Notamacropus eugenii: one gene and its partners. The protein of the gene in region 1 binds, or shares a complex with, the protein of each later gene. Links are inferred from orthologs where the notes say so. Each region holds a gene or a part of one and is shown on either strand. Other genes may lie near its edges. The genes, in order: MYO6, TOM1, GIPC2 and CLTA.

Region 1 (7,730 bases):
TAACAATTTTAAGCGTTTCAGATACTTGTACTTATTCAAATCAGTCAAAATCTTTTTTTAAAAGTTGAAGGAAATGGCAATCCAGCTCCCCAATAAAGCAAAATTGTCTAAACAATGGATGACATAATATTCAATACACATTAAGCACATTCACAACAGGATGAAATTTCAGTGGCTCTCTCACTTCCTGACTAATGTTCTTTACAAACTTTATCACTGAAACTGTTTTTTATACTTTAGGTCAACTTTTGATAAGATACCGAAATAACCCAATGAAATAACTGAAATAAAAATAATATGGTTTGGGGGGGGTTATTGCAGAAGAAATATTTTTTGTTATTGTTTTTATATTTTCTTTTTTATTATAATGAACTTGACAAATATCAATGAACGTAATTATTTCCATACATGAATACAAATAATAGGAAAACATTATGATAGAAAACCACAAAGATCCACTGTATAATAGCTTTAAGAATATAATAAATTTAACAGTATAGTTCTGAAACTATCTTGCTCTTGTCTTTCTGAACTTGCCTCTGCTCTTTTCAATGTATTTTTTAAATGTTTCATTGATACTGTTTTCCTTCTTTTTTCTGATATCTCTATCAATACTCCCTCCCTTTCACCCACCAAAAAAAGATTACTTATTTTTAACAGTTTCTGAAACTGTACTTGAAGAAAAGGTTCAAAGAACAAAAAGATTTTATATAAAATTCAGTATTCAAATTTACAAAAGGTTAAAGGGACCCTTGTTTATCATTCTACCTATAAACTTCTGTGTAACATCTAAAATAAGTTTAGTACTTGAAAAAGTAAATTTACAAAAAACAAGGATTAACAGCTTTTATTGTTTCTTCCTCTGAGAGTGGCCCACCACATGGTATTTATATAGCTTGACAAATGAAAGATGACAATTTTGCTGAACAAGTCCTAATCATCAAGCTGTAGCTGTAGCACAAGGAAGACATCTCTTTAAATTCAGTTAATTTGTGCAAAAAAGCCCTCTGCTTTGCTGTTAACCTTTGTACCCTGACCACTACCAACCCAAGTTCAAGATCCACATTTTATGGCAAGTGTAATTTCTGTTAAACCTTGAGATCATTTTTATTCAACAAGTTATGCTAAAATCTTGTTTCCTCCAGAAGAAAAAAAAATCCCCAATAAACTCTGACTAGATATATATCTGTATCACAAAATTGTAACACCTTCAAAAACTTATCAAAGTTTCAGTAATATTCCTCACTAATACTTATGGGTTAGTATTTAAATACTGCCTCCATAACATGTATTATGAGAACACTAATGGATGTAAAATTCAGTATATTCTCATGAGCAGTTGGCTAACATCAGGAAAAAGGACAGTTATAAAACTACAACTTCCCTGAAATCAAAATCACAGCAACAGAAGGCATTTTTTTCCCTTGTAGGAGTATAAAGTTTCTTTAAAATTAATTTCTATTATTTTTAGAACAATGTGAAAAAATGTTTTGGTTTTTTAAATGCTTAACCTAAGCACTTACACAATTATATTATTATTAATGCACTGATTCTTTCATTTATATAACAGATTTACTTAGATGTTTCCATTTTTTTTAAGTCATTTAATCATAGAGGGAGATCTTGGAAGAGTTAAGAAAATGAAGCTCTGGCCATTCATTATATAGATGGGAAACTATGGGTGTGGAAAAAGGAATAGGCCTGCACAGCCTAGGTAAATGTGAGCTAGTTTTGCTCAACTGCATTTTTTTTTTAATTTCCAAGAAGGAATGAATGGATAGGTGGCTGGCAGGGGAATAATATACTCAGAAATGAATGGGATGTAAAAACAAAAGGCACCCATTTTTCAAAAAGATGTTTATTCTAAAAAAAAAAAAAATTAAAGCTATCTTTGTACCACAAATAAAAGATTACTGTCAGTGTGTTCCCTCGGAGATTCTATCTCCAGTTTATCCGGTCCCTATCTCGTTTGCACATAAGTGGGAGCTCCTTGAGAGCAGGGGCTGTTTTTGCCCTTTTCTAGTCCCCCGCACTTAAGCACAGCACCTGGCATGCAGTAGGCGCTTAATAAGAAGTAAACGCCTGTTGCCTTGGCTTGATTCCTGCTGCATTAGAGCAAGGTCGTTTTCTTAATGATAATCCAGAAGGAATTCATTAAGTGCTTACTAACCAGCTCCTAGAGAAAAGTTTTCATTTTTTTCCTCCCCAACGGTGCCAGCCTCTTACAGAGAGCGTCAGGGGCAGACACGGCAGGTGGTTCCCGCAGGAGCGGCCAGGAGCCTCCCAGGCTCCGTCTCCTTCGCCACCTGGCCGGTCCAGAGGCCGGCCGAACCCGCAGCTCCGAGCGAGCCGGCACGGCTGCCCTGCGCCCCGGCCCAGCCCGGCCCCTCTCTCCTCCGGAGGTCGGGGAACGGGGGAGAAAGGGGCCGGCCGGGACCCCTCGCCTCTCCCCAGTAAGACCCTCACTCCCCCACAGCCCCCTGCAGATGCAGATGTGCCGCTGGCCGGACTCCCGGGCAGGGGCAGGCAGGGAGGCCCCCGAGCCTCTCGGGCCGCCGGGGCACGCAGCCGCCCCCCGGGGTGTGGACACTCCCTCCTCCCTCACTCACCTGGAAGGGGAGGCAGGTGAGCCGCGGCGGCGGCTGCGGGCGGGGTGGCCCCGGGCCGAGGCGGCCGGGAGAGGGAAAAGAGGGAAGAGAAAAGGGCTGCAGGGACCGAGCGGCTGCCCAGCGGGAAGGAGGACAGGGCGCTGGCGCCGGGCTCCTGGCGGTGACGGCGGCGGCAGCGGCTCCCGGTCCTGCTCCACTTCCTGCTCCCAGCGCAGCTGAGCCCCGTCTCCGCCTTCCCTTCCCTCCCTCCGCCCGCCGCGCCGAGCAGAGTCCGAGGGAGGAACTCGGCTGCGCCTCACGTCACCCACTCGGGGAGCCCGAGAAGGCGGAGGCGGGGGCGCCGGCGCCGCGGGCTAGGGGCGGGATGAGGGGCGCGCGCCGCTCCCAGGGAGGGGGGGGCAAGGGAGGCGCGCGCCCGCCCCCTCCCAGCCCGCGCCACCGCGCGCGCCCGCGCCGCCACACACCCTGGCTCCCCCTTCAGTCTCCCGTCCCGCGGCTCCGCGCCCGCATCTCTCCACCTCTGTCCTGCCCACTCCAGCGCTCGGTCCGACAGATCGGCCCCGAACGGCTGTGCGCGGGAGGGGGAAGGGCTACCAGGCCGGGGCGGGGGGGGGGGGGGGGGGGTCGCCCCTCTTTCACGGTCCTCGGCGGGGGCCAAAAGGGAGTGTCATAGGATCGCACATTAGGAGCCGGAAGGGACTTCAGCGGTTATTCAATCCCGTCGCCCTCATTTTACGGACGAAGAAACTGGGGCCCTGGGAGATTAAATGACTTGCCCAGAGTCTCACCAGTGACCTGTCTGCTTTCATAGGAGCAAGTGTCAAAGCCCGAAACGGAACCCAAGTCTTCAGACAATACTTCTCCCGGGGGGGGGGGGGGGGGGGGGGGGCGTGAGGGGGGGGGGGCGGCACGGGGAGGGAGGAAGGGTAGAGGGAGAGGGTGGGGGGGGCGGGGGAGAGAAACTGACAGATCCAGTCTGCGTTTCCTGCGGTGGAAAACCTTCCTCCACACTTGATTGAGTTTCCAGCATCAAGAAAGTAAGTGTCCACCAACTCTAAAACTCTACGTACTTAAAGAAAGAAGCCAGTGTTTCTGGGAAAGAAACCAAAAATGTTGTGGGAAAGGGGAGGGAGGCTTAAAGTATCCCGTCACAGTAATTAAGTTCTGTAACTGACCAGTTTGGGTTTTTTGTTTGTCTTTCTTCTAGCGTGGAGAGTCCATTGAATACGAAGTCTGAGAGAGGAGAAGAGGAGGCTGCTCCTGAAGTGTATTAGCTGCTCCACTGTCTAATTTATCTAGAACATCTAGAAACACACACACGCTCGCACACTTAGATACAATGTATCTGTATTTGAAATCCTACTTTTGTTGGATTTTTATACGAAGCCTACTTCCAAATTTATTTGTCTCTATAGGAGGCAGAGGGTAAGAATGTTTCATTTCTATTTGTGCTCACGCCCCTCCCCTAAAAAAAAAGGCAGCTTGAACTTTAAAAAGCGTTATCCTACTTTTAGTTTGTCTTCATTTTCCATAGTTGATTTGTTTGAAAATAATTTTAAAATCTGAATAGGTAGAAAGGGCTATTCAGACAGGCATTGCTTGATGAGTCTTTTGTCAGAGGTAGTAGCACAATGGAAAGAACAAGGAACATGAAATGAGATCTTCATTAACTGTATGGTCTTGGTCAAGCCATTCATCTGCTCAGCCTCAGTTGTTTTACCTGTAAAATGGAGATTCTGATACCAGCGTTGCTTCACAGGCTTGTTGTGGGGAGCACATAATTTATAGGAAAGAACTTTTAACTTGTACTATATAAACGTAGCTCTTATTATTATGGTTCTTCTGAAGTAATAAATTTTCAGTTTGGAGAAAATTAAATTCATCCAAGATGCTGAACATTTTTATGAAAAAAAAAGGAATAAATTTCATTTGAAAAGTAGATTTGTTTCCCAGTATATCAAAGTAGCCACTTTAAAAGTTCAGAAAATCCTTGATAACGTATAGACTTTAGGGAGCAACCGCCACAATGAATTACGAAGAATGTACTGGGAGAAGGAGGAAAGAGGAAGAGAAACCAAGAAAGGAAACAATTTGCTGGAACCACAGAAATCTCAAGCTAGCTAGACAGGAAGTAAATGTTAAATAAAGGTACCAAGCAGAAGGAGTAGTGAGAAAAAAACAAATATTAAAGTATTGCTATGGCATCTTGTGTCTTCCCTTTTTTGAGTTTAGAATTGTATATATATCATTCAACTTAAAAGGTGCCTGGAAACCATTAGAAACTAATACATCTTAAGAAGTATAGGGTAGTATATCATATGACTATGATTGACAGCAAAAGTAAAAAAGGAATGTGTTACATATTTCAGTCTCAGTTCCTTCTCTAGTTAAGCATGATTTCCTAGCTATCTGTTCTTCCAAAAAATACTCCTAAATTTTGTTCTTTTTCTGTTTTTTTCTTCCAAAAAACAGAAATACTTCCCTTATTTTACAAACTGAAAGAAGCAAATTTTCCTCTTCCTTTGGGATATTCTAGTCCTTTCCACAAGTAACATGTAATATATCATCCAAAGAATCTTGAGTTTTCTCTAGCTGTAAACTTCAAAGATCTTTAGTTTGACTGTGATAGTCTTACACAGCACTAGTATAGCATTTGTATCCACAAAGTCTCAAATAAACTGGAGAAACATTTATGGAGTGACTTGGACAAGAATCACACAAGATGATAACAGACAATAACCATTTATAATGTACCTAATGCGTGCCCAACACTATACTAAGTATACTAAGTAGGAATACAAAGAAAAGCAAAAGATGAACCAATTTTCAAAAAATTCACATTAATGAGGAGACAATAGACAAACAAATAGGTACAAATGGGCTATTTATAGGATAAATTGGAGATAAGATAACAGGTATTAAAGGGGATTGGGAAAGGCTTCTTGTAGAAGATAGGATTTTAGCAGGTACTTAAAGAAAGTCAGGAAAGTTAAGAGGTAGAAATAAGAAGGGACAGGATTCTAGGCATGGGAGACAGCCAGCGAAAAATCAGAGTCAATATAGGATGGAGTGTGTACAGTAAGGAGCAGCATTCTTGAGCACAGTGAGTCCATGGGGTTAAAGCGTAAAGAGAGTGGAAAGAGGGGGGCAGGATGGAAAAGGCTTGGAATGCCAAAAGGAAGATTTTATATGATAGGGAACTGCTGGATTTAACTGAGTGGGGGGTGACAGGGTAGGAACAGAACTTTAAGATCACTTTGACAGATGAGTAGAGGCTCCATCAATCAGTCAATAATGGGCCAAAGTGGAAAGACAATCGTGAGTTGGAACATGAGGTGTAGAGGAGAGAAGGAATCATATATTAGACATGTTAAGAAGATTAAATCAACAGGACATAGCAACGAATAAGATATAGGTAGGGGGAGGTGCAGAGGAGGGATGCCATGAAAGTCAAGAATTGAAAATGATAACTAGTTTGCAAGCCTGATTGACTATAAGGATTGTAACATTACTATCAATAATAACATTGACAATAATAGGGAAGTTTGGGAGAAGGGACAACTTGGAGAAAACAATAATGAGTTCTGATTTGTACGTGTTAAGTTTAAGATGTCTATGAAACACAGTTCAAGATGTCCGGTTAGAGATGTGAGACTGAAGCCAGCAGAGAGTTAGAGCTGGATAAAGTAGATCTGAGAATCATCAGCAAAGAGAATGCATGAGACCTGATGAAAACACTAAGTGAAATAATATAGAGGGAGAAGAGAAGAAGGTCCAGGACAGAGCCCTGTGGGGCACCCACATATAGTGGGAGTAACCAATTAGCAAAGGAGCAGTCAGATAGATAGGAGAATCAGAAGAAAGCAGCGTCACAAAAATCTCGAGAAATGAGAATACTAAGGAGAAGAGTGTAATCCATAATGTAAAAGTCTGCAGAAGAGTCAATAATGAAGAAGATGGAAAAAAGGCCAGTAAATTTGGCAATTAAGAAATCATTGATCAGAGAGAGAAATTTGGAGAGAGAGAAATTTTAGTTGAGTGATTAGGTCAGAAACCAACTTTCAGAGTTAAGAAGAGAGAGAGAGGAAAGGAAGTGGAGGCACCCATCATGGACTACCTTCTTAAGGTGTTTAGCCATAAATAGATGGAGTTATATGGGACAATAGCTAGTCCGGGTAGAGGGATCAAGATTTTTTTGAAGTTTGAGGACAGATGTGCAAGTTTGTAGGCAGAAAAGAAGCAGTGAGTAGACCTGAAGAGATTGAAGATGACAGCATGGATAATGAAAAGCAATCTGCTGAAGATGAGAAGGAACAGATAGATAGATGTCCATGGGTTGGGACTGATTCATAGGGGGACAAGTCCTCTAAAATAAGAAATTATTTTATTAATCCCATGGATAATCTACTATACTGTAATTAATTAATCCTAGAGAGTTTTTAGAAAAAGAGTAAAGCACAAGAAAACACTCTGACAGTAAGAATTTCATTAAAAAAAAAAACAGCTTCTAAGGTAGAACTTAGAGGTACTTTCTACATCTACAATGCTGCATTATGATTACTAGAACTTAGTCATTTGCAAATTCCTCAATCATTAACAAATATATTCACTTCTGTACTTACTGTGTCAAATTTATTGGATTAGTAAGATTTTCAGCAACAAAAATGAAATCAAAATAAAATTTCTACTGAAGTCCTAGTTAACCAGAAAACTCACCATTTTCCTGAATCTTCTAGTTACTTGGGATTCTACTGTGGTTTCCTTCATAGGGACAGATTGCATAAATCATGATATGCCAATTTACTGCCGAATGACCCCTGGAGGAAGTTACACAATTATACTGACCTGTATCTACTACAAATCTGTGTTATCTAATCTCAACTGGATCCCCATTGCTCCCGAGTCAATTCTTTTACTTTTTCCTAATTGTCTAATGAACTTCTCACACAGATGTCTAAACCTCTTCTCTCTTCAAACTACCTGTCTGAAGAACAAAAGACCTTGTCACAGCTCACTGAGAAAATGAAGCCTTTTCTCACCTCATATCCCTTCAGACTCAGTCCCTATTTCAGCTTCTTTTGTTCCAGTAGTCTCTGAGGAAGTAGCCCTTCTGGCTAACTC
Region 2 (6,957 bases), on another chromosome or scaffold:
CTGGGATGCTCTGATGGCTGGGAGAGAACAGGAGTAGCTCAGGCTACCAAGAGGAGCTTCCTTAGCCTTCCAAGACCCCCTATACCTCCTGGTTAGTGCTAAGAAAGGCAAACCCTCAGGAAAACTGGTTACATACAAAAGGGAGCTTGCCAAAGAGTGAGGAGAGAGCTGGGTTCAAATCCTGCCTGATACTGACTAGCTACATGGTGCTGAGGAGATGATTTCTTTTTAGGCCTCAGTTCACTCATCTGTAAAATGGAGACACTATTGATAAGGTTTCCTTGGAAGGATTGGTGTGCCCACAGCTGGCAATGAAAGCTCTTCCCAGCTTATTGTCCTGCTTCATACATCATGCTCTCTCTCTCCCAAATCAAGCCTTTGCCCTGGTGGTCCCCTCTGCCTGGAATGCCATCCCTCCTCATTTCTGCCCTCTTTTGCTTTCTCTGAGTGCTCTCAGCAAACGCCTGGTCCACAGGAAGCAGACACTTCACAGATGCCTTCAGAGTTACACTCTATGAATTGCTGTAACTCAGAATGGTGAATTTTCTCCAAAAATCCATTGTATTTGTCAATTAGGGAAGCTCCAATCTTGGCCAGAAGTGAAAGTGGGGCAGTCTGGGACTGGGGGGTGGGAAGACTCAGGAGCCACAGGCATGCTCTCTCCAGCCCAGAACCTGACTCATGGTCAGGTGGCCTTCCAGGAGGCGTCTAAAGCTGGGATCACCCCACCCTGGGAGGAATCTGAGAACAGTTATTCTGACCACAAAGGCTGGAATTCCAGAGATGGGGGATGAGCTTGGGATGAAATCAGATCAGACATTTGGAATTGGAAAGGACAGTCAGTCTGCAAGGCTGCCCTGCCCAGGCCAGTCCCAGGACCAGAATCCCAGTCTTTCTGGTTCAGAACTCTCATTGTAGAAGATGCCTTGGGGGGTGGGGGGTGGGGGGCAGGGGGAGAGGAGGAGTCAGATCCTCACAACAACCTTGGGAGAGAGGGGCTGGTAGTAGTCCCACTTTCAGGTGGGGAAACTGAGGCAGACCTAGCTGACTTGCTCAGGGTTACATACTTAAAAAGTAGCTGAAGCTAAGTTTGGACTAGTTGTGCTCCACCCGGTGAGTAATCCAGCCGCCTTCTGAATCTCATCTTATCCTCAGCACAGTCTTGTTAAGCAGGTCATGCAAATATTAAAAGGCCTGGTTCAGGTCCTCATCCCTTCTGGCCTTTTGATAGCATCCCCAGCCCTGTCTTTCCCCTCACCCAGATGCCACTCTGCCTCCTCCCCTCCAGTGGCACCCCATCACCTCCAGGATCAAATAGAAAATAAAGTCCTTCACCCCATTCCAGTCTTCCACCTTCCACCTCCTGTGTGCTGGTGTTGCTGTTTCCAGAACACATAACTCTTATTTCCCACCCACAGGCCTTTGCACTGTCTGTGCCCCATGCCTGGAAGCCTGTCCTTCTTCACCTCTGCTCTTTGCTACCCCAGTTTCTCCAGGACTCAGTTCAAATCCTACCTTCTTCCAAAGGCCTCTCTTGCGAGATGATTTTCTCTCCACTCTGTACCCATTCCCTAGGCACAGCCATCTTCCCACCCATACAAAGGGAGCTCCCCTTTCTTTGGGTCTCCAGCCCCTCCCACTATGCCTGGCCCGGAGTAAGCACCTAAAGGAGCTGCTGACTGACTGATCACAGACAAAGCAGGGTCTTCCAGTGGCCCCCTCCTCAGCTGGGACAGACCCAGCCTCAGGTCCTCCCTTCTACTTTTCAGAATTCTTTTTTCCTTGGAGGATCAGCTTCATGCCACCTACTCCATGAAGCCCCCCTTCCTCTTCCTAGGATCAACTTTTCATTCATCTGCATAACTATGACACCCACTGTATACATGTTAGTCAGTTAATTAACTGATTAACTGCAGTGACTTCTCAGAATATCAGGCCTAAATGCGTGGTCTCCCCTCAACAGGACACGAGCTTTTCCAGGCCAGGGACCATCTAGATTGGTGACCCCCAACGCACACAGTAAGTGCTTAATAGATGCCTTTTCATTCAGAGGATCAAAAATCTACCGGAGAATGGGGACAGATGAAGGGGTGTGGCCCGGGGGAAGTGAGGCAGGATTGGGACAGAAAGTGCTGTAGCCAGCATTTATTAGGCGCCTACTGTGGGCCGCGGTCTGGCGACACAGAGAAGACCCAGACTCACTGCTTCCCCAGCCCAGGGCTACGCGCACAGTAGGGAGCTTTCCCCCTCCCCTGTATCTGGTCTGCACGTGGTCACTCTGAGTCCTCCAGGGCACACAGCAGGAGCTACAAAAATGCTTACTGACCAATTTATGTCCGTGGAACTGCACCCCCATTTTGCAGATGAGAAACTGAGGCTCAGACAAGAGAAGTGACGCAGAAAAGTTGGGAAGACCCTCGGGGCACTGGTCCGCCCCGGAATAGTCAGGGGCAGGACTGGAACCCAGATCCTCCGCCCCCCCAGGCTCTGTCCCGTGGATCCCTCTGCCTCGAGGTCCCTCGCCCGGGTGCCGAGTGCCAGACCCCGGACACCCCTGTCCCGGCGCAGCTGACGCTCGGAGCCCCGGGGGCGGGAACGCTGCGGGCCCTTTAAGAGAGAAAACTTTCTGCCCGGCTCCGGGGACCTCCTCGGGCGCTGATTGGATAAGCCGCGGCCTCCGGCTCCCGCCCCCCAAGCAGGCTATAGGCCCGAGCCCTCGCCAGTCGGTCAAACCACCTTTTCTATTGGCTCGAGGACGTTGTCACTCCGCGCTCTCGAGGCAGGGGGGGAGGATCCCCTGAGTCCCCTAGATCTGGGGCTTCGAGCCCGAGGGGTCCCCAGGAGGCGGAGGCCGGCATTGGGGAGGCCGGGACGCGCGGAGCACTTACCGATGCGCTGCCCCACAGGGGAGCTGAACGGGTTCCCCAGGAGAAAGTCCATGGTCGCCGCCGCCGCCACCCCTCCGAGCCCGAGGGATCAGCTGACAGCAACTGCCACGGCCTCGGAGTCGTCACGTGACCCGCCCCCCCCCCCCCCCGAGCAGCCACAGGCCCCGCCCCGTGACGTGCCAATCACCGGCACGAGGCGTAGGCGCGCGGTGGGAGCAGGGGGCCCTCGTGACGTCACGCAACCTCGCCACCCCGCAGCCTCCTCCGCGGAATGTCAGAGGTCATCGAGGGCAGCCCCCGGCCTCCCCTCCTCCACCGTTGCACACCGGAGGCCCAGAGAGGGGGCGGGGCTTGCCCGCAGCTACAGCCATAAGCGACTCCCTGGCTGCCTGCGGCCTCAGTTTGCCCCTCCGTGCCAGGGGGCGTTCCCGGCTGGCCCCCGGGGGCTCCGGGTGTAAGGACTCTATGGTAAAAGGGAGAGCGGAGAAGGGCGAGGGGATGGGCTCGGAGTGGGAACGCCGGGTTCCCCTCCTACCTGCCGAAGTCACCGTCAATCAGCATTTATTAAGCACCTCCTGTGTGCCAGCCCCGGAGCGCATATAAGGAAAGTCAGGGGCCGCCCTTGCCCTCTAAGAGGGACCAGGAGACCGGCACAAACTCCTGCCTTGTGCGGCTTCCCCCCTGGAGCCCTCACTGTTGTCATTTCCGTGGTATCTGGCACACAGTAGGCACTCAATAAGTGCTCATGGGGGGCTGGACGCAGTGATCCCCAAGTCACCGTATGATTCCTCCCCACCCCTGGTCACCATGGCAGCTCACTAAGCAGTCCTTCCCCGTTAGCCAACTCCTTGGTATTCCAGCATCTGTTTGGGGGCTTTATGGAGCTCCTGGCTCTCCCCCTCCCCCTACAGATGGGTAAACCAAGGCCCAGCCGTCATGTAGTGACCTAGGCTCTCACCTAACTTTTCTGCTCACTGGCTGTGCCAACCTGGGTAAGTCCATCTCCCTTTGTCTCAGTTTCTATTTGAATAATTAAGTGGAGAACAGGGACACCTAAAGGAGCTGAGGGTTGGACTGATTTCCCTGTGGTTGTAAGCACGTCATCCTTCCCCACCCTTCCGGTAAGGACTAGGACTATTAGACCATTCATTGTTTTTTCCAAAACAGTCAGTGGTCCCTTTCCAACAAGCCTATCTGTTCACTCTGAAAAAAGAAGGAAAATCCAGGAATTGGAAACCCCAAGGGGAGAGAACCACTTGGCAAGGTGTTGCCCTTTCAAGATGGAAATCAGGTGGGCCAGCTTCAAGTTATTTTATTAGATGTTTGACTTCTCTAAACCTATTTCCTCATCTGTAAAATGGAGATAATTACATTTTTACTGGCTGTCTCATGGCGTTATTAGGAAGATGCCATAAACACAAAAAAATTCATAAAAACAAGTTTTCTTTATTATTATTAGGTGTTAAGTATTCATTGATTACAATAATGTGATTTTTAAAAGACCTAAACAAAAGTTGAAATCTGTTTAGGCCTCAGAGGAAACCTTAAAAGTGCTATAAAAATATTAGTTGCTGCTATGGTTCAAGTCAATTCAATAGACATTTATCAGACACCGGTATGTGCCAGGTCCTGGGAATACAAAGTAAAAAATGGAAGCATTGTTTGCTCTCAAGGGTTACATTCTACTGGGGGACAGGGGAGAGGGAGAGAATGTACACAGACAAGCGAATACAAACGTATACCAAGTTATTGGGAGGAATCAGGAAAGACCCAACCATAGGGTACCAGGGCCTTGTACTTGCATAAGCCCTAGAGTTTTCAAAGTGCTTTCCAATCCATATTTAACACTCACCACAGCCATTAAAGGGGCTTCAACAATGATCTGGCTCTTTCTTTGACCAGCTGTGTGACTGCAGACAAGTGATAACCTTTCCAAGCCTCCCTGCCTCATCTGTAAAATGACGTTAATTCTTGTGCCATAAGAGGGTAATTGTCAGGAAAGTGCCTCGTCAACCTTGATGTGCTACACATGGGAGCTATCAGAGTAGAAAGGGAGATCCCCATGCCCTTAATTTACAGAGAAGGACACTGAGGTCGAGGCTGCCAAAAGTCTCCCAGTTACCGATGAGTAGTAAAGACGAGACATTCAGATCTTCTGACTCTCTTTAAAGGAGTCTTTCCATAATACCATATGCTTAACCCCATGAGGTAGGCAGGCATTGTTAGAGGGAGAAACTGAAACCCAGAGATAAATGAATGAATGGTGCCAAGTGTGGGGGAAGCAGATAAAATAAGTCACATTCCAGTGGGGGAACTCACTAAGTTATTTGCTCATGTGTTTTGCATGGTCAGGAAGGAGGTGTGGAGCACATTTTGACACCAGATTGGGGCTGCCTTCTCCCATGTGTCTGCTTCAGAGGAGAACAGAGGAAGAGTGTGCAAAAACCACAGGATCTTAGAGATGTCTAAGTTCAGCTCCATGCATTTAATGGATCAATTTTACTTTATCTTCCATCAGCAGACATGTTTAAATGGATGTAGGGAAAGCAAAGACAGACCCAGAAAAATCCCCAGAAGCACAATGGAACTCCCAAACAAGTCATAGAATAAGCATATAACCCATTGACCAAGTAAAAATAAAAACAAGAGAACATGTCTCACTCCAGAAGTCAATGGGTGGCAGTGGAAAAAACTCCCTGTTCTGGAGTCACAGGTCCTGGGTTCAAATACTGCCTCTGATGCATATAATCAAGTTACCCTGGGCAGACCTAGACCACAAAGCCTCTGAGATTCTTTTCATTTCTAGATTTAAGATGCCCTGATGCCATAAAGTGTGGGTTGGCAAATTACATAAATCATCCTTAGGTTCATACAAAAATCCTTAGGGGTTTGCCAACCCCTGCTCTAGGCAAGGAAAACAATGATAAAAAGTGGTGACTGGACTGGTGTCCTTGCTATTGGACAGAAGAGACAATGACCACGGGACTCATGAGTTACTGTTTTTCCAGTTCAGTGTTCTCTGCCTCTACGCAGGTCTGTTGACACCTGTTCTTTGGGCTTCTGCTTTCTCTCTCAAATTCATTAACTAATGACATATCTTTGCCTCTTCTCTTATGGTGAAGCAACATTCCCATCTAATCTCATACAGTAATTTCTTCAGCCATCCCCCTAATGGGCACCCAAGTGGCTTCTGGATTTTTTTCCATCCTACTTTTCACAGATGAAGAAAGAAGGGAGGGTCACAGGAGAATATTGGAACCCAGGACTCCTGGCTTGTGGACTGTCTCCATCATACCACCTGGTCTCGTGCCTAGACTCAAGAGCTGTTCAGGACCCAAGGCTTCCCTTCCCTCTCTAAACTTGATGCCTTCCCATACTTAAGTTGATCTGGGATTGAAAAGATTGAAACTTTTTTTTTTAACATGCTAGGCAATTCCATGAGATTGGGAGCTTTCTGAGGGCAGGGACTGTCTTTTGTCACTTTTCGTATCCCCAGGGCCTTAGGATGGTATCTGGCATACAGTAGGCACTTAATAAATGATGACTGAATTCTTGCCTCTCCCTTTCAGTAAGTCCTCCACATGGAGTGAACTAAAGGCCTTCCTTTGAACATTTTGGGCAGGCCAGGGCCATGGCCGCAGTAGGAAGGGTCTGCTTTCTGTTTTCTATTACCCTTCATTCTCACTAACTGACTGGCTCTGTTTCCCATTTCTACCTTCACACCGTCAAAACAGTCACTCAGATGTCACCAAATGCTTGGCTTAGATGCCATTTGTAGATGATCGTAGGCAAGTCATTCACTTACAAGCTGCGGTAGTGATGGTGGTGGGGAACCCAATGATCAACTAATCAACCAGAAGGAATTTATTAAACTCCCAGTTTTGCAGGCCCTCCCTGTGCTCAGAGCTCGGGGTACAGAGACAAAGGAAAGCAGTACATTCTAATGGGGGTGGGTCTTGGGCCTCCTATGACAAACTTCCCACTACTTAGGTAACATGTGGTTCCACAACTTGTGAATTCATTTGACAAGTATCTGGAAAGTGTTGACGCCCCTCTGCTGCCCTCTTCC
Region 3 (7,670 bases), about 390 Mb from region 1:
AAAAAAATGTTACCTACAGTCTGAGTCAATCATCTCTCTATCAGGAAGTGGGTAACATGGTTTCATCATTAGTTCCCTGGAATTGTGATTGGTCATTACATTGGTCAGAGTTCCTAAATCCTTCAGATATTGTCACTATATAAACTTCTCCTGGTTCTTTTTGTCTCACTCTTCATTAGTTCATAAAAGTCTCCCCAGGTTTCTCTGAAACAATTCCCTTCATCATTTCTTATAGCACCCCATCACAATATGTGTATCACAATTCTTCAGCCATTCCTCATTCAGTTCATGGGCACCCCTCAGTTTCCCATTCTTGCCACTATGAAAAGAGATGTTGTAAATGTTTTTGCTAATCTTGGGTACAGTTTGTTTTGCTTAAGGTTAATCCCTCCCTCAATTATTACCTACCGCATGCTTCCCTTTCTCACCCATTTAGAGAGTTGTCTGAAACTCAGAGAGATTGTGAGCTGTCCATGGTCACATAGCCAGGAAGTGTCAGAAATGGGATGGGAATTCAGATCTTCCTAATTCCTAGTCCATCACTCCCTCCACTATGCCCCCCACCCACAAGCACTCACGTGCACACACACATGCACATGCATGGATAGATCTGTCTTCTATCTCCCTATTCCTGATTTCAAGTATATAACATCTTGAGCAACACAATGGTCTTGCTCCTCATACTCCTTTTAGGCAGGGAATAAAAGCAAAATCCTTTGAACCATGATTATGTTTCTGAGAAATTGATGTTATTTCCTTACTTTATGTATTTGCTTGGATGCATCATTAGCATATCCCCTTACAGTAATTGTGGTGGTAAATTATTCAACTTGAAAAGGCTACAAGCCAAGACCAAAGTGGAGGAAGTGTTAGCACAGGATTTTCTCTTCTCAAATGATTGTGCCCTCAATGCAGCCTCTGAAGTTGAGATGCAATAAAAGGTATGGATCCATTTTGGCCTAACAATGAACACCAAGAAAGCACAGGTGCTCCATCAGCCACCACCACACCATCCATATATGGAACCATCAGTTCCAACAAATGGAGAAGTCTTGAATGCTGTGGATAAGTTCACTTACCTTGGTAGTGTACTTTCCAGAGATGTACACAATGACAATGATGTTGATGCATGCATTGGGAGAGAAGAGGTATTAGACTGACTACCAAATGGAAGATCTACAGAGCCATTGTGCTGATCTTATTGTTGTATGCCTGTGAAACATGGACAGTCTACCAGTGCCATGCCAGGAAACTGAATTGCTTCCATTTGAACTGTCTTAGGAAGATCCTGAGGATCACCTGGAAGGATAAGGTACCAGACACTGAGGCTCTTGCTCTAACTAAACTGCCAAGCATTCAAATTCTACTGCAGAAAGCCCGACTCTAATGGATCGGCCATGTTGTTCAAACGCAAAAAGTACACTTGCCAAAACACCATTTTATGGAGAGCTTACATACAGCAAGCATTCACATGGTGGTCAGAAGAAGCAATACAAAGACACTCTCAAGGTCTGTCTTAAGAACTTTGGAATTGATTGTGTTACATGGGAGACAGTGGCACAGAACTGCTCAGCATGGTGTGCCTTTTTCAGATAAGGAATTGAAGTAACTCAAAAGAAATGCGAGATGCTCATATTTAAAGAATCCACCCCAAATGTTCATATGGAATATTTATGCCCAACCTGTGGTAGAGCATTCCAAGCTCTTATTGGTCTGGTCAGACACACTAGAACTTTGATCTAGCATAGTCATTTTGGTCCTCTTCGGGAATGAAGGACAACCAATAGTAATGGTGATCAGTCAATCAACAAACACTTATTAAGTTCCTATTATTGGTAGGCACTGGGCTAAGCACTGAGGAGACAAAAGAGGCAAAAGATGGTCCCTGCCCTCCATGAGCTCATAGCCTAATGAGAGAGACAACAAACAAATAAATAGGTACAAACTATGCACAAACTACATACAAAACAAATGGCAACAGGCAACCCAACAAAGGCAAAGGCATTTGAATTAAGAGGGACTGGGAAAGGCTTCCAGTAAAAGATGAGATTTTTCTTGTTACTTAAAGGAAGCCAAGGAAGTTACCAGTCAAAGTGGAGGAGGAAGAGTATTCCAGGCTGGGGGACAGCAAGAGAGAATGCTGGGAGCCAAGAGATGAACAGTCTTGTTCATGGAACAGTCAGGAAGTGAATGTCACTGGATCAGAATTCCTGTGGAGGAGTGGGATGTAAGAAGACTGGAAAAGGAGAAGGGGACCAGGTTATAAAGGGCTTTGGATGACAAGCAAAGGATTTTGTATTTAATTCCATGAAGGTGACAGAGTTTATTAAATAGAGGGGTGAAATAGACTGGTGAAAATCACTTTAGTGGCTGAATAGAGAATGGACTGCAGTTGGGAGAAACTCGAGACAGGCAGACAGCACCCCCCAGCAGGGGTTGTACTTGAGGTATGTAATAGAAATAGAAGTAACAGGCCTTGGCACCATATTGAATATGGGGGATGTCAGATAATGAGGAGTCCAAGAGGACTACGTTGAGAGCCTGAGGTACTGGTGGTCCCCTTGACAGTAATAGAGTGGTGGAGGGAGGCTAAGAGAAAAGAGAATGAGTTTAGTTTGGGGTATGTTGAGCTTGAAATGTCTCCTACTTAAGATGTCTTAAGGGGATTTGGAGATTTGAGATTAGAGGTCAGCAGAGAAACTGAGGCAGGCAAGGTAGATTTGAGAATTATCTGCCCAGACATGGTCATTAAATCCATGGGAGTTGATGAGATCACCAGGGAAGTAGTAGATGGGGAGAAGAGGACTCAGGACAGAACCCAATGGCACACCCAGGGTGGGTGATATAGCTGAGGATCCAGCAAAGGAGATAGAGAAGGATCGTCAGAGAGGTGGTGGGAGAACCAGGAGAGAGGGGGGTTCTCTGGAAAACCCAGAGAGAAGAGAGTATGGAGGAGGAGATGACAGTCCCAGTGTCCGAGGCTGCAGAGTCAAGAAGGAGGAGGAGGGAGAAAAGGTCATTGGATTGGGCTCCTAAGAAGCCTTAGTAACTTTGAGAGGGCATTTCTAGTGGATTGAGAAGGTCAGAAGGGTGAGGGAGACAGGAAAATCAGTAGAGGACCTTTGCTAGAAATTTAGCTACGAAGGGCAGAAGAGGCAGATGAGGAGCCAAGCTTCCTCTCACTTGCACCCAGAGCCTTCCTTCCATCTCCAGCTGGGGCAACTTGTTCCGCTGAGTCCGTCTGCCTGACTGGTCTTCTCTTGGGTGCCCTGCCACCCTCTCCTAGGTAGCTGTCAGGTAAGGGCCTGCCATTTTCTGTCTGCTCCAAACAACGACTTCCACCTTTGCCCACACAAGGCAACTTCCGCCTCTCAACTCAGTCGCCTCTCCGACCCTGGATTTCTTTCTATCTCTTCCCCTCATCCCCCAGCTCTGAACCTGTTTCCTCAACCATAAAAAGGAGATAACCCTGGTTCTGCCTCCCTTCCTCAATCAGTTGCCAAGCGTTTATTAAGCCATCAGTGGGAATGAAACGAAAAAAGAGGAACGATCCCCCCCATCTCCCCAGGAGCTCACATTTTTCTGGGTTCACAGCACAGAAGAGGGTTGGAGCCACTAGGAAGGCCCCTGGTTAGTTCGGGCTTCTTATCGCGGTTTCAGGAGAGGTGCATTTAGGGTTAGGGGCTCTGGGAACCTGGGGATCAAGACCTGCCCCAGACGCCTACCTGCTCTAGGGCCCCCAGTAATTAAGTCTCCAAGCTACCAGTGACCCAGGCCACTGGGGCGCTAAGACAGAGACAAGCTGCTCATGGGCCCGAAGAAAAAGGCCACCTCCATAGGGCTTTAAAGTGTGCCAGTCCCTCTACAAGCCTGCGCTCCCAGACCCTCTCAACCCCTGGAGAGGGAGGCACCATCTCCATTTGCGTCTAGGCCAGGTGAGGATCTGTTGGAGGAATCCGGGATGGGTTTGCTTCCAAGTGCAGCCTGTTCTGAGGCATTTCCTGAGGGAGATCGCATTTGCCGAGTTGGTCTCTAGAGAGGAGCAGCGGGGCGCTGAATGTGGGGGGGGGGGGGGGGGGGGAGTGGCAAGAGGCCGATGTAGGTTGATGTCCCCAACCGCTTGCCTCAGAAAGATGGTGGTGATCTTTGCTGGTGGGGTAGCTTTGATTACCGTTTCTGGGTCGGTTGTATTAGACTGTGATTGAGGCTCCATTTCGTAGGCCACTGGACTCACAGCGAGGGTCAGACTGGGCAATCTTCTTGGTTCCCAGTTAGGCACTCTAAGCCCTGTCGGACGCATATTTTTCCATTATCCTTCATAGGGAGCCTTGAGACTGAGGGGACCCCCCACCTTCCCACCCCGCCTCGCCCTGGCTCCTCGTGGCCGGATTTCCAACTCCAGCCCGGTCTTGCAGACCCGAACCGTTCACCGTGAAGTCCCACCTTCCCCCTGGCTCCACTCCCTCGGCTTCATCCTGGGACACCGCTGCCCCGCTTCCCCTGACTCCCCAGAAGCGCCGCTGCCCTAGGAGTAGGAGAGGCCGGTGCGGGCAGGAGGAGAAAACTGGCCAGCCTCCAGTCTCCTAGAAGGAAGGCGTAGGCGTCGCGTCGCAGCTATTGGCCGGGGTCAGCCTTTTACCTGGGACACACCCAGCCCAGGATTGCCCTGCCCCTCTGCTCCCTACCCTCGGGCACCACAGAACAAAGTCCGCTGATCTAGCTCGCCGAGCTGCAGCCACTGTCTTCGAGGCTGCTCCTGCGTGTCGGAGAGGACGCGGTTACCTGTGCCGGCCTCCTGCCCCCAACGGACGGCCTGACCGACAGACGCCTGGTCTCCTAGAGCCTCCTGGGGCCCCGTCCTCACCCAGCCGCGCCCTCTGACCACCTAAGATGCCGCTGGGACTGAGGGTCAAGAAGAAGAAAGCCCGGTCTACGGACGTGTCCAAGTTGATGGAGGGCGAGCCGATTGCTCAGAGCGCTTGGAACGCCCAGTCCCTGCCGCTGGAGCTCCAGCCCAAGCCCAAGCTGGTGTTTCACACGCAGCTGGCACACGGCAGCTCCACGGGCACAGTGGAGGGCTTCTCTAACATCCAGGAGCTCTACACCAAGATTGCCCAGGCTTTCGACATCTCTCCCTCCGAGGTAAGCAAGGGCACGGGCCAGTGCCTGGGCGAGTTTCAGTCTCCTCTGCTTCCTGTTGCTTGGTGCCTGTCTTTCTATGCCACTCAGATGGCCGAGGACTCCCTCCCCTGGCTCTGGAGGCAGAATCGCCGGGCCTCGAGAGCAGAGAAGGACCCACCTCAGACGCCATCCAGTCGGGCTCCCTCATTTCCCTGATGAGGAAACTGAGGCCTCGAAACGCGAGACTTGTCCCTGCCTCTCAAGGAGTAAAGGACAGACCCTGGATCAAACACAGGTCTCTTTTCTTGGCTTCAGATACCTCATTTGAAGATTCAGACCAGTTTGTCCTTGGGCAAATTATTTAGTCTTCCCATGCCTCAGTTTCCTTATCTGCCCAATGAAAGGATCCGACTGGGAGGCCTCTGATGTTATCTTCAGCTTTAGAGCTACTGTCCTCCGCGGAAGGAGGTCATCCTGGCCCTGGTCTGGGAGGGCAGGCGCCTTGGATTCCGTAGAGACCAAAGTCCTTATCCCATCTCTCAGCATTTATTAGCTTTCTGAATCCAGAAGCCAAGTCTCTCGACTTTCCTGGGTCTGACAGGTCCCTTCTCTTATCTGTGAACAGAATAATCATGCCACCAGTGTTACTTACACCACAGGATTCTTAGGAAGATGGAATAAATCCTGCAGCGGATCTCAAACTTTTTGGAGTCAAGACCCCTTACTCACACGTAAATGATTGAGGCCCAATTTCCTCTTCCCCGCTTTGTTCTATGGGTATTCTATCCATACTTAGCATTTTAGACATTTAGTAATCCGTGAAGATAGTTTTGATCTCAGTGACCCCCTGAAACCGGTCCTGGATAACACTTTTAGAGAATCGCTAAGATAATGCAGTAAAAATGCTCTCTCTTCAGTGGCAGTGTGGAGGCAGTGGTTAGAGCTGGTCTCCAGTCAGGAAGCGGTCTATCTGGGGTCAAGCGGACTATCTGAGCCACACTCGCTGAACGGCTAAAGTAACCTCTCGGCAGCTCCCACTCCGCCTGAGCGCTACAGGGGTTTCCACTCTGGCACATAGTATGGAGCCTCAGTTTCCTCATCTGTAAAATGGAGATAAATAATGCCTATTCTTGTGGGCAACTTGAGTCCTTCCCGGGTAATCTAGAGATTACTCTGTTACCTGAGAGTTTAAAAATCAAGGCAAGGCACTGTGCCCTAGGTTCTAGGGCTGCTAGAGAAAAGAGAAGGAGTTTGTTTGGAGCAGGTTGGAAATCGGGAAGCCCACCTCGCATATCCCAGATGCAAGAGATAAGGATAAAGGCATTTTGGAGTCTCTTGGAGGCTCTGGAGATGGCACTTGCTCCCGGACGGTGATCAGAAGGTCCGAGTTCTGGGCCCAAGAGCCAGGGGTCTGCCCCTTGGCTGTGAGCTCCTGTGCTGGGGAGGGTGGTTAGGACCTTCTGGCCTGGGCTTTCTTCTCGGCATCGATTCTTTTCGAAGGGACCAGGGACCCTGCCTTGGCAACCCTTGGGGAACCAGTTGAGGTTCCATCCCGGAGTAGAGCCAAAGAAGGGCCGCTCCCTTTTCCTCTCGCCCTGCTTCCTCCCAGCCGTTCGGGGCGCTGCGACTTTGGGGCCCATTTCTTCCATCCAAATTCACTGAGGGAAAGGACAGTGATGATCACGCCACATATAGACATTGAGTACTGAGGAAAAGCTTGGCTGTCCTGTGCTCGAAAGCTGGTTCTGACCCGAGTGACCTTGGCTAAGTCCCTTCCCTTTCCTGAGCCTCGGGCTCCTTTTGGCGTGGCATCTGGGAGGCTCCAAAGGATCTCGAATCTCAAAGCCAGAGCCTGTGGTCAAGGGGCCTCTGGCATTCCTATGAAAGAGAGCCATGGAAACCACTAGGTTCTTACAGGAGGAAGAAAGGGAAAAGAAGGTAGTGGCAGAGGGGAGCTGGCTGAGAAGGAGGGAGGAGATCTATCCAAAGTCTATCCAAAGTGGTAACAGCCTGTCACTTTGTTTTGACATCTCTAGATTATCAGGGAAGGGTTCAAGCTGCCCCCACCAGGTAGGTGGCATAGGCATTATTTATCTCCATTTAACTCATGAGGATACTGAGGCTCAAATCAAGTCAAGAGGCATTTATTAAGTGCCTACTATGTGCCAGACACGGTGATAAGCACCAGGGGTACAAAGAAAGGGAAAAAACTAGGTCTGCTCTCAAGGACCTCCCAGTCTCATTAAGGGGTGACACCACAGAAACATGATGTGGGGATCTTAGTGGGAAGGTCTCAGAGAGTTTGTGACTTACCCAAGGTCATACGATCATTAACTGTGATTAAACCTGGGTTCTTTCAGATCATCTTCTTTATCCTATCCGTAGTTCCCTTTCTATATATTTGTTTGTATATTTTCTGGCCCATTAGATTGTGCGCTCCTTGAGGCAGGGACTGTCTTTTGCCTCTTTTTGTATCTCTGGCACTTAGCAGGCACTGGATTGAATGAATGAATACTGCACAAACTGTTGTTCAAAGGATCAGCAGCTAC
Region 4 (7,444 bases), on another chromosome or scaffold:
TCTGGACGCTGTTACCACTGCTCTGCCCCAGTTCTTGATGGGGTAAGCTGGTTCCTGGTCCCCTTCCCTGCTCTCCTCCACAGCTTTAGCAAGGGATCAGGAAGCTGGGCTCCGAGCTAAGACAAACAACACCACCCTCTGTTTAGCCTCTGGTTTCTGCTTCCAATTCCTGCTGGCCCCAACACTGATCCTAGCTTTGGCCCTATCATTATTTCCTCTTTCTGGAATCACCAGGTAGATGCTAGTTTCGTTCCCTGTTGCAATCTTGATGAGCCTCCACTATATATTGGGGATTATAATTTTATCTTCCCCTGGGGGGTTCCCAGGAGCCTTGGACTGGTTTCCATCTTCTCCATCAATCTCCCAAGAAGCCTTTATCTCCTACTCCAGCTCCAGCAGGCTACTGGCTATCAGGGTAGTGTCAGTCCTTATGGAAGGCCCTTGCTCTGTCCCAGCACCATCAGGCTCCTCGGTCCCTTCACCTCACTAAGAGACATTCCACCCTTCTTGGGAGCTAGCTTTATTCTCTGTTGGGATTCCAGTAGTTCAGGGCTGAGATCTCACTGTCTTCAGGCCCTCTGTACTGGAGATTATGTTGCCTTCAGCATACTTCTTGCCTTTTTTGTAATTATTCCTATCCCTTGTCTGGTCAAGGATGCATCTCCTACCCATAAAAACCCAAACACTTTGGGATAAATTTTAGCATCATTATCATTCTCCATCCCTCCTTCACTGCACAGTGATGGACCTAGAGAGGTGAAAAAAGCCCCATAAGAATCAGCTATTTCCCAATGCTTAGGTAATACCTGGTACCTCTGCATGGCTGACAGCTAGATGGCAAGGAGATAGGGTACCAAGCCTGCGGTCAGGAAGACTCATCTTCCTAAGTTCAAATCCAGCCTCAGACACTTACCAGCCATGGACCCTGAGAAAATCACTTAATTCTCTCTTAGTTTCCTCATCTGTAAAATGAACTGGAGAAGAAAATATCAAGCCATTCCAGGGTCTTTGCCAAGAAAACCCCAAATGGGTTCACAAAGAGTCAGACACGACCGAACAACAAACAAGTGCGTTGTAGAGAAAGGAGAGGGGAGGGTTTGTAAAGAAAACAGTGAAGAGCTTTAGTCTGCAAACTGATTCAGAGGATCCTAAAAGGCCTGTATTGATTCTCCTCCTTTTCCATAGCACCCACTTTAAATCTAGCAACAAACACTAAGCCCACCACATGAAATGAAAATACACTAGGAAAGATGAAGGACTATAGGGACTGTTAAACTGAATGCCATAGTATATTTCATAATGTCTGCTTTGTGGTTTCCATAACCTTTCTTCTCATTTTATGTAAGGACATGTTTACTTTTTAGAATTTTGTAATTATAAGTGTCTAGCCTTTGCAGAATGTAAACATGAACCTGTATGGTTTGCTGCAGAACATACATCCATATCCACATTTATATTCTTAATTGATACCTTTTACCCTGTTAGGATTCCTGTGTTTGGTAAGTTTATTCTCTTAAATCTGAGTCAGTATTCATATGTAGAATCACAAAGGAAAAAGGTTATAAACACCTCCACCAGAGGTCTTTGATCCTTGCTGGAAACAACCCAAGTCCATTCTCCTGGAATTTACCATGTGATTTAGAGGTAACTCAGTGGGAGAAGACTCAGGTCCATATAATTAACAGGCTACTGTCCCCAAGCCCATGCACTTTTACTTGCTTCTCACTTTCCTTTGCCTTCATCCTAAAACCAGTTGCAGTCTCCCTCCCTATCACCTCCTATTATATACTTCATAAATAAATGTCCACCTTCCCAAATAGCCTCAAAGCAACTCGGATCATAGATGAGATGTTCCACATCTTCCCTGGTTAGCTGAATTTTGAATAAAATTGGGAGACATTCTAATCCTATATTCTAAATATCAATTGATTGATCATTCCTCTCAACCAATTACTGTGCTCAAGGAACCCAAAACATAGATGTAGGAGTAGGATTTAACAAAATATCTTGACCCTCATCAGTCATCCTGGAACACCACACACTCCCCCTTACCCCCTCAAAAAAAAAAAATAGAAAAGAGGAACAACTGCAACACATGTCAGAGAGGGAACTTTTTTTTTTTTGAGACTTGTCCAAGCAGGAAGTACAGTGACCTCATAGTCTGATCCCACTGATGATTTTTTCCATTTCTGATCTGGGTAGGGCCCCCTAGTTAGGTAATCTGCTCCTGGGGGGGTGAGGGTGGGGCTAGCATACTGATGCCAGATTTAGTGTGGATACCTGATCCACTGCAGCTCATTGCAGTTCAGAACTCCTGTGTTCAAGTGATCCACCAGCCTCACGCTTATACAAGCCTTACCTTCTCTGGGAGTGGGATTACAGGTACGTACCTCCCCACTTGACAGACTTTTCTTATATGGAAAAAGGAAAGTTAGGAAGCATATTTTCAGGGCCATAGTATACCAGTCTGGACTCCAGTCATCTGCAAAGAATATCCTTCAATAAATCTTTTTTAGACATATGTCATATTTGAGCTTTGTCCTTTCCCCTCTTTTAATTGCAGACAGTGAATTACCAAGTAATTACTGGATTGGAGAGACCTTTGCTGACAAATCTAAGCACTCACACTAAAGTTTTCAGCTGCTGTAAGCAGACTTAATTTGGTCCCTAGAATATTTTTTTTTAAGTTAAAAGCATCCTCATCACTGAAAAGTGTGAGAACCACTGGACTAGGTGATCACTAAGGACCCTTCTACTTCTAGCAGTCTCTTGGGGACTTGTGGTATCATTAGGACAACAAATACTCAGTGTAGAAACTTTTTCTACCACATACAGATAGCAACTCTTCTGCAAATTATAGTTTTAAAGGATGGCCTAGGGAACTGAGAGGCTTGAGTTGCCCAGGGTCACATAGGTTAATATGTGTAATCAACAGGACTTAAAATCAAGTGTTGGGTTGCTAGGCCTTGCTGTGGATACAGCATGGGGCCTGGAGTCAGGAGGACCTGAGTTCAAATGTGACTTCAGACACTTACTAGGTACGGGACCCTGGGCAAGTCATTTAGCCCCCATTGTCTCCCCCACCAGAAAAAACCCAACCCAAACCAAAAAATAAGTCTTACTGACTCCCAGGATGGTCTTCCATCCCCTATGCCTTGCTAACACATTCTATGACTGAAACAATTTTTGAACAAAATAAGGATACTAAAAGTGACTGTTATCATTAAATCATTCAATACACATTTTTAAAGCAACTATGTCCACTGTGCTGGGCAAGGATGGGGGAGGGGAGAGGTACAGAAAAAGATAAAGTATCAACAATAATCTAGCCTTTAGCCACAGTAGCTTCTTCTGCAGTTGTAGAAACCAATGTTCTCTTCCTCTGAACTAATTTTTTCTAAGTTAGAAAAATGAGAACTGAGAAATCAGGAAACCTTATCATTTTCTGTGAATCTGTAAGTAAACAGGAAGAGACAAAGAGGCTGAATTAGCTCTATAACCTAATGTTTTAGTTGCATAAGCTAACATTTTAAATTTCTCATGTTACCCAGTAGGAAGCAGGTTGTAGAATGGTTAGAGATCTTAGATAATTTCTTTTCCACTTTCCTTATTTTACAGGTAAGGGAACTGAGGTTTAGGGATGTTAAGTACTTGATCCAGGTTCACAACCCTAGGAGACACAGAGGCGAATTTGGAGTCAGGTACTGAGTCTATCATTTGTTGCCTCCTCCCCTCCACCCCTGTTTAAAACACAAAGACACACTCCAAATTTTTGACAAAATTAGTTGAACATACCTACATATCTGTTTTGTTAAAATACCATCAAAGAAAAGTGTCAAAAATCTTACATCCTACAGTCTCAAAGAAGACAAAGAACTTTCCATCCACCAGAGCAGACTAAAACTGGTGAGTGATTAGGAATTGTGCTTTGAGGGGAGATCTGAGTTCAAATGTAGCCCCAGACACTTGACACTCATCTCCAGTAATCCTGATGAACATATGGTCACTGGATTCAAATCCAGCGCCCTGTTTCCAGTCCTGGGACATTCTGTTAACAAGAGCCAGTGGGCTATGGCTGCCATTTGTAGTGCGGTGTATCGTAGGGCTGGGTTGTTTTTGTTTTGGGAAGGTGTGGGGAAGGAAGAGGAACAGTGCGAGGTTACAGATGCAGGGAAAACTGGCTCGTCTGAGGCTCCCCGAGAAATCCTATAGAAACGAGGAATGTAAAGTGACACGCGGAGCCTCTGGAAACATACTAGCAGTGTCCGAAACTGACGCATGTAATTAACTCGCCAGCTCTTCCCGGGAAATTCACAATCACGTGCCGAGCCTTTGCAACTCCTTCGGAGACTTCCCCGACTGGCGGTTCGCTATTTTGATTGGCCGCGTTCCTGGCCCCACCCTCGGCTCCTGGAGTCACGAGTTTTCCCAGGGCCCGCCCCCGCGTCCCTGCCGATTGGGCCTCGGCTCTGAGCTACGAGGCTGCCGATTGGCAGACCCTACTTCTCCCCTCTGCTGCCTTCACCTCTTGGGGGCGGGGTTTCCGCTTCCGCCCCTCGCCCCCCACGATCACCACCGCCACAGTGGCCGCTGACCTCCGTCCCTGGCTGCCTGCCCTCCCCCGGACCTGCTCCCTGCCCGCCCGCTCCGGCCCTGTGCGCCATGGCTGAGGTAGACCCGTTCGGTGCGGCCGCCGCTCCGGCCCCTGCCCCGGGGGGCCCCGCGGTGGGTAACGGCGTGGCGAGCGGCGGCAGCAGCGAAGAAGACCCGGCCGCGGCCTTCCTGGCCCAGCAGGAGAGCGAGATCGCGGGCATCGAGAACGACGAGGGCTTCAGCATCCTCGACAGCGGCAGCGTGCCGGCCTCGCTGCAAGGGGAGCCCCCCGGAGGCCCGGGTAAGAGCCGCGCCCGCCCGGGGGGCCCGGTGGCGGGCCCGGCGGCCAGCCCGGCTCGGGAGGGGGCCGGGGCTTTCCTGCCCTTCCGCCTCTGCGTGCTGCCGTGGGGCCGGCGGGCGGGGGAGGGGAGGGCGGGCCCGGGCCGGGCCGGGGACGGAGGAGGAAAGGGAGGCAGAGCCCTGCTGGCCTGGCGGAGCCCCCCTGGGGAGGAGGTCCCTGCCGGCCGCCCATCAAGGGTCACTTTTAGGAAGGGGGCGATTTCTGTTCTTAAGCAGGAAGTGACAAGAACAGGCTGAGCTGAGGCTGGCTATGAAGGGTCGGAGGGGCGTTCAGTGGCCGCGGGGCGCCTTTGAGCTGGGAGGACCGTGGGGATCGCGAGGGAGTGGACGGCGGAGAAGCTCGGGTGTCCGGCCGGCCCCTGGGGGAGCCTGTGTCAGCCCTTTGAACGATCGAAGGGACGGCCTCGCGTCTTCCCTCGGGGCAGAGCACGGGCAGAGCCTTCCGAGGGCAGCCGAGAGGCCTCCGGCCTTTGGTGGGTCTCCCAGCAGGTGGTGTGGACGGTTGTGGAGAAGAGTTTCAACCCGCTTTCTGCAGGATGCAGGTTTCCAGAGAGCCCAGTTCAGTCCCATAAACACCAGTGCCTGCCCTGTGAAAAGCACTGCAATGGTGGTGGTAAATCCAGGGGAGTGGAGGTCTTTACCTCCATGGCTCTTACACTCAGACAAATACAGTAGGGGAATTCTAGAGGAGCCTACAAGTGCTTTGGGGACTGGGGCTTCCTCACACCCTGGGAGTAATTTTTGATTTTGTTTTTGCTTGCCCTCACTCTCACCCAACTACCAAATCCTGTCTGTTCTACCTCAACACGTCTTCTTCATTCTCTTCTCACTCACTGATCCCCCATCCCATGTACTGGGACTCTCTGTGTCCAGTCTCTGGATTCTCCACAGAGCTTCTGGCATAGGGCAGGGCAGCCAACATCTTCTCCAGCATTTGCTGTGTGCCAAGCGCTCTGCTAAAGCACGGGGGGGTACAGATAGGAGCAGATGTAAGCAAACACGCAGGTGATGTTCTTAAAGATCTTACATCCTCATGGGAAGAGACAACCCAAAAAGGAGGAGGAGAGTGTAGAAACAATAGCGGCGTTTGGGTATAATACCAAAGACCTCAGAGTCAGAGGCAAATCCAGGAGTGAGATGAAGTATGGCTGGGTCCATTCCCCAAGTGGGAGTCCCAGGAAGAACTCACACATGGGAGAAGGGGCTGGGGAAGCAGTGATGCCCTAGGATAACGGTGCTGGGGCCAAAGTAGACGCTGGCTTTGGAGAAGCTTGCATCCCACTGGGGCTTGAAAATTACCAGAAGATAAATAAACAGAAAGTACTGTAATTGGAATGAAATCCACCTCTGCTGAACCTTGAAGGAATAGTAGCCTCCACATAATACATCTCATACATGGGACTGTGAAAATGCTTGGAGGCCAGAGATAGTGTCGAATTCAGGAAACAGCTAGGCGGTAAGTTTGGAATATAGAGTACATTAAGTAGGAAAGTATGAAACAAGACTGGAAAAGTAGGTTAGAGTAAGATTGTATAGGGCCTTAAGTATAAAAATGAGGGCTTGTGTTTTATCTTAGATGCAAGGAACAACCAAATGATTTTGAGCAGGGGGTTAAGGTGATCAAAGATCTGTTTCTTTGGAAAAGTTATCTGGAGGATTAATTGGAGAGCCCAGACCCCGAGAGCAGGACAGCCATCTCTTCAAGGAAGTTTCTTTACCTCTCAATACCAGTGACATCATAGTTCCATTCACCCCCTTCCTCCCATTTCCTCCAGTGCAAAAAGTGAGGGTCTCAGTGTCAGAAGGGATGGATAACTGACTGAATGGGATTAAGGAGCCCTAGGACTTGAGGGTAAGATGGAGTTTTCAGTCTTGGTCTAGTGGGAGAACTGTGCTACCTTCAAAAGAAATAAATTATTAACATATGTGATTGGCATTCAGGATATCAAGGATAGATATATAGATTTGGGAGTCACATGCCCGGAAATTGTTTGAATACCTAGAAGCTGATGACACTTTCAGGGGACAGAATATAGAGACAGAATAGGGTCCATGACAAAGCCCTGGGGAGCATTCATGCTGAGAAGACTGGATATAGATGATGACTCAGCAAAGGATATCAAGGATTAGTTAGGTAAGTAGGCAGAGAACCAGGAGAGGGCAGTGGAAGCTGAAAGAGGAGGAGGGGGGCTGACTTTTTCAATCTGCAGTCAGGGCAAGGAGGAGGACTGAGAAGAGGCTATCAGATTTCGTGGCCAAATGAGGGTCCTTAACTTTTGGAGTGTAGTTGCAGAGTTAGCTTTTGGACAGTAGATTAGTGGTGAGGTTGGAAGCCATATTACAATGGGTTGAAAAGTTAACGGATGACCTGACTTCTCTGCAAAATATTTATTAAGGACTACCTGTGTTATCAGGTTAGGGTGCTGGGGATTCAATGACAAAAATGAAACAATCCTTGCTCTTGAGAAGCTTAAGTTATATCAGGGAAGAC

What was found.
Region 2: the proteins of MYO6 (region 1) and TOM1 are in contact, whole or in part, in a crystal structure (PDB 6J56), measured with the Homo sapiens proteins. The link is inferred for Notamacropus eugenii from reciprocal best matches to the Homo sapiens genes MYO6 and TOM1. Residues at the interface, in NP_001355794.1 of Homo sapiens: Ile1182, Phe1184, Trp1202, Gln1214, Glu1216, His1218, Asp1220, Lys1221, Pro1222, Ile1224, Leu1226, Glu1234, Met1235, Cys1236, Leu1238, Glu1242, Thr1243, Gly1244, Leu1245, Arg1247; in NP_005479.1 of Homo sapiens: Ser440, Glu441, Phe443, Phe446, Leu447, Arg450, Ala451, Ala453, Ala454, Asp455, Leu457, Pro458, Asn459, Leu460, Ser461.
Region 3: the proteins of MYO6 (region 1) and GIPC2 are in contact, whole or in part, in a crystal structure (PDB 5V6H), measured with the Mus musculus proteins. The link is inferred for Notamacropus eugenii from reciprocal best matches to the Homo sapiens genes MYO6 and GIPC2. Residues at the interface, in NP_001034635.2 of Mus musculus: Ser1055, Lys1056, Trp1057, Lys1058, Tyr1059, Arg1084, Arg1085, Leu1086, Val1088, Tyr1089, Trp1092, Lys1093, Asn1096; in NP_058563.1 of Mus musculus: Glu255, Leu256, Tyr257, Met258, Gly259, Ile260, Asp262, Asp264, Leu265, Thr268, Thr289, Leu290, Asp292, Phe293, Ala294, Pro296.
Region 4: the proteins of MYO6 (region 1) and CLTA are in contact, whole or in part, in an NMR structure (PDB 6E5N), measured with the Homo sapiens proteins. The link is inferred for Notamacropus eugenii from reciprocal best matches to the Homo sapiens genes MYO6 and CLTA. Residues at the interface, in NP_001355794.1 of Homo sapiens: Met1053, Thr1054, Pro1055, Met1058, Ala1059, Met1062, Ser1087, Trp1089, Lys1090, Tyr1091, Glu1113, Arg1117, Leu1118, Val1120, Tyr1121, Trp1124, Asn1128; in NP_009027.1 of Homo sapiens: Glu47, Asn48, Glu50, Ala51, Phe52, Ile54, Leu55, Asp56, Gly57, Gly58, Ala59, Pro60, Gly61.

Annotation. Positions count from the first base shown.
Region 1 is NC_092873.1:145,790,169-145,797,898, reverse strand, and holds the start of MYO6 (unconventional myosin-VI), read right to left. Parts: upstream 3,007-7,730; 5' UTR 2,610-3,006; intron 1-2,609. UniProt on the Homo sapiens protein: Myosins are actin-based motor molecules with ATPase activity. Unconventional myosins serve in intracellular movements. Myosin 6 is a reverse-direction motor protein that moves towards the minus-end of actin filaments.
Region 2 is NC_092874.1:292,427,375-292,434,331, reverse strand, and holds the start of TOM1 (target of Myb1 membrane trafficking protein), read right to left. Parts: upstream 3,015-6,957; 5' UTR 2,941-3,014; coding exon 2,889-2,940; intron 1-2,888.
Region 3 is NC_092873.1:539,178,441-539,186,110, forward strand, and holds the start of GIPC2 (PDZ domain-containing protein GIPC2), read left to right. Parts: upstream 1-4,657; 5' UTR 4,658-4,890; coding exon 4,891-5,142; intron 5,143-7,670.
Region 4 is NC_092874.1:318,883,881-318,891,324, reverse strand, and holds the start of CLTA (clathrin light chain A), read left to right. Parts: upstream 1-4,438; 5' UTR 4,439-4,662; coding exon 4,663-4,894; intron 4,895-7,444. UniProt on the Homo sapiens protein: Clathrin is the major protein of the polyhedral coat of coated pits and vesicles.